Ovis aries: one gene and its partner. The protein of the gene in region 1 binds, or shares a complex with, the protein of each later gene. Links are inferred from orthologs where the notes say so. Each region holds a gene or a part of one and is shown on either strand. Other genes may lie near its edges.

Evidence for each region.
Region 2: the proteins of SLF2 (region 1) and SIMC1 are in contact, whole or in part, in a cryo-EM structure (PDB 7T5P), measured with the Homo sapiens proteins. The link is inferred for Ovis aries from reciprocal best matches to the Homo sapiens genes SLF2 and SIMC1. Residues at the interface, in NP_060591.3 of Homo sapiens: His738, Val772, Leu775, Lys778, Asp783, Phe786, Gln790, Gly791, Phe792, Thr794, Ser795, Ala796, Tyr797, His798, Tyr799, Cys820, Ile821, Gln825, Ser828, Met831, Glu832, Ile835, Arg836, Asp838, Thr839, Ser841, Asp842, Ser843, Pro847, Lys919; in NP_001295125.1 of Homo sapiens: Tyr426, Arg428, Leu431, Lys435, Leu438, Pro440, Val442, His443, His444, Leu445, Phe447, Gln448, Arg470, Arg471, Phe490, Asp493, Pro497, Val521, Asp522, Lys525, Glu526, Tyr528, Met529, Met532, Lys533, Gln536, Leu537, Arg571, Asn658, Gln661.

Annotation. Positions count from the first base shown.
Region 1 is NC_056075.1:21,532,778-21,536,433, reverse strand, and holds part of SLF2 (SMC5-SMC6 complex localization factor protein 2), read right to left. Parts: intron 1,089-3,656; coding exon 103-1,088; intron 1-102. UniProt on the Homo sapiens protein: Plays a role in the DNA damage response (DDR) pathway by regulating postreplication repair of UV-damaged DNA and genomic stability maintenance.
Region 2 is NC_056060.1:5,010,649-5,014,147, forward strand, and holds the end of SIMC1 (SUMO-interacting motif-containing protein 1), read right to left. Parts: intron 1,081-3,499; coding exon 836-1,080; 3' UTR 559-835; downstream 1-558.

The sequences.
Region 1 (3,656 bases):
AACACTGAATTTTAAAGTAAGTTCTAACAGATCTATCGCTCTTTCACTAGTCAATCCATTTTTCTCTCTTCAAGTAAAGATAGATGTCGTAGAACTACTTACTGTATAGTCTGATGACTGAGATCTAAGCCCTTTAGAAAGAGCTGGAGGCTTTCCTGTAGCTGTAGGAGTCTGATTGAAGTTCAAAGCCATTATTTCTTCCAGTGATTTTAATGTTTCCTCTTCCTCATCACTCTCTAGGTTATAACCTAAACTTTCTTCATCACTATCAAAATCACCCCTTAGTTTCCTTTTCAGTGCACTGCTACCTGCATTAGAATTTCCTGAACACTCTTTATCTGAAGGGGCTTTATCTGAAGGTGCTGGTGGGCTTGGAATACATGGCACAACTTCCAAAGCAGCTGGGGAAGACTTTGTAGGAGTGCCATATTCTGAACGTAAAGATCCCTCAGAAATTTTCCCTGAAGATATGTTAGAATCAGCCTTATTAGTCTTTGCTTTGTGTTCCTTGTGTTTGGAGGACTCTGTAGAATGCCCAGAACATTCTTTAGGTGAAGAACGCTCTTTATCTTTTTTAGGAACTGGAAGAGTGCAATTTTTAGCATTTAATGGAACCCGAGAGGAACCAGCACTTGGAACATGGGAAAGCAAAGGTAGAAGTTTTGTCTCCTGTGATGCCACAGAGCTAGCAGTTTTATTTTTCTGAAGGTTGCTAGCTTTTTTAACTGCAGACTTTTCCTGAGGTAAAGATAAGTGGGGTTTCGGTATCTTAGTCTCTTTGGTACTTGCCACACGGATTTGGTCACTACCACGGATTTGGTGCCCAGAATTTGTAGGTGTCAAGCCTGCAGAGGAGCAATCAGCTTCTTCATTTGGGTCCTTGGATATATCTTCCAAACGCAATACATCACCAGGTGTCTTCAGTGCAATATGCTTTATAAATTTTTCTTTCTGATGTGGTCCATCGGGACGCTTCTCAAGGAAGGACTCTTTTGCTTTTGGCATTATAGATTCTCTTGTGCTTTTCAGATCTGAGTCCACAGAGTTCCTTTTTCTTTTCTCAGGGAATTTATTCTGCTTAGAGCCTGCTAAAATTTAATTTTTGCCAGATTAGTGAAAATATACTTTTCTATCTTATTAAAGTTTATTCAAAGAGTGTCTAGAACACCCTGACAAAGCATTTAAATTCTAAAAGCTTAGGCTGAGATTATCACATATGGAATGAGGAAAAAGTTAATAATATATTTCTTTGACATACTCATGTCAAAGAAATTTAGTCTAAAGCGAATGACAAATGCTCATTTTCACTCAAAAGCTATTAAAAGTTTATTACCTAAATAGAATTAAAGGTGTTACTTGCCAAAATACTAAAAAGCTGTATATCTGTATCAAGGAAAGGTAATTTCTCAAAAAAACTTCCTGTAAGTATTTCCCCCTACTATTAAATTGTTTATTCTTTCCCATTTATCTCTCTAATCCTCAGCTGTGTTTTGGGTTGAAGTGTAGCTCCCAAAATAATATGGGGAAGTGTTAACTCCCAGAACCTCAGACTATGACCTGAATTAGAAACAGGGTTTTTATAGGGGCAATCAAATTAAAATGAGGTAATTAGGGTGAGTCCTAATCCAATATAACAGGTATCCTTATAAAAAGGGGAAATTTGGACATGGAGAAAGACATGCAGAGGGAAGATAATATGAAGACACATACAAAGAAGATGCCATGTGACCGGAGTGATCCATCTGCAAATCAAGGAATGCCAAGAATTGCAGATAAACACAAGAAGCTGGAAGAAGTAAGGAAGCATTCTTTCCTTAAAGTTACTGAGAGCATGGCCCTGCTGATAACCTTAGTTGGGGAATTCTAGCTTCCAGAATCATGAGACAATAAATTTTTGGTGTTTTAAGCCATCTAGTTTTAGATACTTTGTATGGTAGCTCTAGGAAACTAATACAACTTGACTCCATGTTAGGAACTCCATCCAGAAGCACTTTAATTTTAAACACCACATATACATGAATTAACCAGTTTTTTAAAAATTTCCGTGTTTAAAAATGTGATGTTTCATTAATTCATTCTGAAAAATTCACTATTTATATAATTAGTATTCTCAAAATCAAATTTCCCTAAACCAAGTTTCTACACATGGACAGATGTCCCCACATCTCAAGTTGGATTTAAAAAACAAAAAAAACTCAAGAAGTTAGGCAATTATTTGGATAAGCTTATCAATACACAGTCTGGAAAATCAGTATGTAAGAATGAAAAATTAATTAATAATAAAATGTTCCAGGACTTCCTTGGTGGTCCAACTGGTTAATAATCTGCCTGCCAAAGCAGGGGACGTGCGTTTGATCCCTGGTCTGGAAGATTCCACATGCTGTGGAGTAACTAAGTCTGCGTACTACAACTACTGAGCCCAGCTGCCACACCTACTGCCCCTGTGCCCTAAAGCCTGTGTTCCACAAAAGAAACCACTGCAATGAGAAGCCCAAGCACCACAATTGAAGAGTAGCCCTCACTCGTTGCCAACTAGAGAAAAGCCTGTGCATAGCAATGAAGACCCAGTGCAGCCATTAATATACAAATTTATATAAAACAAACAAACCCAGGGGAACTTCCCTGGTAGTCCAGTGGCTAAGACTGTGCTCCCAATGCAGGTGGCCTGGGTTCAATCCCTGGTCAGGGAACTAGATCCCACATGCTACAACTAAGACCCGGTTCAGCAAATAAATTAAAACAAAAACAAACTCAATCCCCCAAGAGCTCCTGTCTGCATTCTTCTACAGATATTTCCTATTAGCTGATAAATCATTCTATGCTCTCAGTTTTCTGGGGTTAAATGTCTTAAAATGACAGGGATCCTTTATAGGGCAGGATGACAAATCAAATAACCAAGAAAAGAGAAGACTTGGAGAAGACAAGTCTTCATGATTCTTTTTGTGTCTCCTATACAATCTGTAGGTTGAATGAATGCTTTACAACATTTCAAATACTTATTAATATAGAAAATACTCAGATAAGACAAGGACTGAGCTTGTAAAAAGAAAAAGGAAAAACGAAAAAGCAAAGAAAAAAAGAGAAAAATCCAAATGCTCAATAGAAGACTGGCTATTACTAAATAATAGATTAAGTTGATCCTCAGAATTCAACCACAGGACAGGGCTCTGGAAGATCAATAAGCTAAATGCCTATCCTATCAACATTGCTGAAGTCCCTGAACTTGTATGTGATTAATGAATGTGTGATTATGTGTATTATCACAACTGTTAAGTGTAATAACAATAATGTAAATAGAACCTAACATCTGGATTAATATCTACTCACTATTTAGGGAATACCTACATGTGATGTGAAGAACCAACTCATTGGAAAAGACCCTGATGCTGGGAAAGACTGAGAGCAGGAGGAGAAGGGGGCTACAGATGATGGGATGGTTGCATGGCATCATTAACTCAATGGACAGAAGTTTGAGCAAACTCTGGGAGATAGTAAAGAACAAGGAAGCCTGGTGTGCTGCAATCCATGGAGTTGGAAAGAACTGGACACGACTTAGTGACTGAACAACCACAAATTCACTATCAGATAAACATGCTTCATGTTATCTAGAAAAAAAAATCCCCGTATGCTCTTAATAGTCTACTGATATTCAACTG
Region 2 (3,499 bases), on another chromosome or scaffold:
CTGCTGTCTCTTGCTTTGGACGGTATTGTGTCTACACAAGGAGCCGAGCTGACCTTCCCCCAGAGACACCCTGGAGTCTCAGATGATCAGAATTAATTTATTTGTGTCTTCTGTTATGCTTGTATCTCTTACTTGTTTTGACAATAAAAATCCGTACTACTTTCTCAAATGTAGATGGAAGTTTTTTTTCATTAAGTTACTCCATTCTGCCTGCTCAGTCATGAAACCTAAGCATGATAAATTTGATATTTTGAAACACCATTGCCTTTTTATTGTATCCTTTTAACATCAATCTTTTTGCAGCACACTCAATACTTTTGTTTCTATCCCCCTTCATTACGTTAGGTCTTAACAGACTGGCCACAAATAGGCAATATCACAGGTCCGATATAGGATGTTTGTTTTCCGTTAGGGACACAAACATCTTTCTCTTTCGAAACAGGTTCTCAGTACCTTGAATGACGTAACATTGATGTCTCAAATTTGTTTAGCACATGGATTCTTTTTTTCACATCTTGAATGGAAATGTTAAACATATAGTGCATACAGTATTACCTGTTTCAAAAAAAGTATACATAAATAATTTATTAAAAAATATATACACCATATGTATTTAAGTCATATCTGAGAAGAGGCTAGGACAGGGTTGTTAAAAAAAAAGATGTTTACTAAAGAGTTAGAAAGTTATCATAGCCTACAGATAAATAAGGTAGGTTTGGTCCTGTTAGATTTTAAACTACTTTCTATCCTTCTGGGACTTCCAAGCAGTTGGAGGTGGAGTTCAGGAGGTATTCTTGGTGTTCAGTGCCTCAGACAACCTTGTGCTGCTCCAGGCCTATGGAGAGACCTCCGAGTCGGGGTTCAGGTCTGCGGCAAAGAAGAGCAGGAGCCTGAGGAGGCGCACCTTGTCCTGCAGCTGCGGGACGAGCGGCTCCCCCAGCATGCGGACCAGGCGGCTGCGGAAGGCCTCGATCTGCTTCTCCACGTCCACCACGGAGATGTCGTCCCCCTGCTGGGGCTTGGGCTTGATTCTTTTGATTATTAAGTCTTTCCGGTCAATCACTGAGCTCCGCAAGTGCTCTGCAAGAGGGAAAAAGTCAGCGGCACTGTTCCGAACGACTTTCTATTCCTCTATGACTGGGGAAGACGGAATTTTGGTAGGTAGGGTGTAGGCAAAGATTTGTTGATGAGTGACTAGGCTACAAGTCAAAGGCCCATTTCTGAAAGGTCCTTTGTTCTGGTTCTCTCTGGACCTCAGGTTTTAGTATTAAAAAAAGCCTTGGTTTTAGTTCTTTTTCCTTTGTTGATTTAGACAACAAACCTATATTAAATAATGAAACTATTTCAAATGGATATAATTGGAGAACTACTCTCTGAAAAGAATTGCAAAGATATTAAATTTTACATGGTAAGTCTGTCATGATTTTGGTTAATCGTAATTCTGTTGAATCCATTTTGTATGTATTGCAGGATAGACCAAATGAATAAACATTCATGTTGAGAATAAAGCAAGGGTTCTCACTATGGGAGACAAGATTGAATTAAGGAACAGGAAGAGGAAGAATTCTGTGGAAGTGGAAACAGGTATCAGTATGAACTTTCATTTTTTTTAAATTACATAATTTACTAGCCCTTGTCAGAAAGGGCCTAGAAGCAATAATAACTGATGGCTGTCCCAGTAGCAATCAGCATACTCAGCACCTAGATCTTGGTTTTGAAATACTATTTCCCACTCCCCACTAAAAAATACCAGAACTCTTGGCAAAAAGGCTGATTTTAGGATCATGGCAAGGAAGTTACAAGGGGAACCTGGAACTTTTTTTTATAAGAAAGTAAGGGAATGCTTAGAAACTAATGGGGACATATTAGTTTCTGTTGGCCACATTTTGAACAATATGATGGTAAATAATGGCCAAAAAAATGGGACTATAACACACTGAATTTTAAAATGTCCCAAATCCATAGTAAATAAGAATGAGTGCAGGGAGAAGGGGAAGGTCATTTTTATCAGAAGGCCAGTTAAGAAATGTAGAAGGAATACATGACTAGAAAGGGACCAATTTTCCATCTACTAAATCAATTCAGTAGTTCACCAAATGAAAGGCTGAACGGGAGACTGAGTTTCACCCTCTGGGAAGAGAACACGGGAGAAGTCTCTTAGGGACTCCCTGACCATATGGTCCAACTTCACACCAGTGAGACCACACTGATGTTCCTGCCTCTTGATGTAATGCACTGGAAAGGGGTAGCCACCCTCATCTCTTCTGTGTTCTTGCTGCTCATGAGAGAATAAGCTGACCACCCCAGTTGTGCGGTGTTCTATGAAGTAACTGACCTGGACTCTTCAAAAGTGTCCTGTTACGAGAGACAAGTAAAGGCTGGCAGCTGTGTTAGATGACAGGAAGCAGAAGAGCATACCAGCCAAGCACAATGTGTGATGCTTGACTGAATCCTGACCCAAAGCAAAACCAAACAGCAGTCAAGGCTACCACTGGCACACATTAGATAACATTCTATCAAGGACAGAATCAGAGGGATAATGAATAACGGCATGTAGGAGGATATTCTTAAGCTGAAGTGTTTAACAGTGAAGGATTATGACAGCGCAACTTACTCTGAACTGGTTCAGCGAAAAAAAGTATGTGGATGGAATAGATAAGCCAAATATGGCAAAATGCTAACAGCTTCTGAATCAAGGTACAAGTTACAGGAGTGTACGTCATACTACTCCTTAAGCTTTTCTGTAAGTTCAAAAATAAAATGCTGGGGAAAAGTACAAACTTCTAAAGGTACCCATTACAAAACCATGACTCGGTCCCAGCAGGGCTCTGGAAGTGTGTGGGATCGAGGCACACAGGGCACAGGGTCACAGGCAAGGCAAATGGAGGGGAAGGGCCCTGCAGGCCTTTTGAGTCCAGGTGTACCAGAGACCATGCCAGCATCATTGTATCCATCTCATTTATAAAAGGGGGTAATGGCACCTTCATTAACAGGGTTCCTAGAAGGACTGAACTACAGGGTCTAGAAATTTGAGAAAATAGAATCAACTGAAAAGAAAAAGTATAATAAATAGATTGCAGAATATCCAAAAAGTCTGGAAACAGGAGGCACAGCTGCTCTGAGATGTCATCATAGGGGCATTTCAGCATTTAATCAATGTTACAGTGAGCGCCTACTCTGCCTCTGGGACAGGGCTAGGCTCCGAGGAGACAGTGGGATCAGAGACCTGGGCCCAGCCCTCCTGGACTGACATTCTAGCCGCAGGAAGCCTGACAGTGGTTAGTCAACAAAGACAGTTGTGGTTTTGGTGAGTGCAACCAAAGAAATCAACTGGGTGCTGTGATACACAGGAACACTGAGGATCAAGGGAGGCGGTGTATTCTAGCTGGGGAGGGCCTCTTAGTTGAGTCCCAAAGGATAAGGAGGTAAGCATGAAAAGTCTAGCGGAAAAGCAGTCCATGTAGCGGGAAAAGGTGCAAATGCCATGATGTAGGAAAAG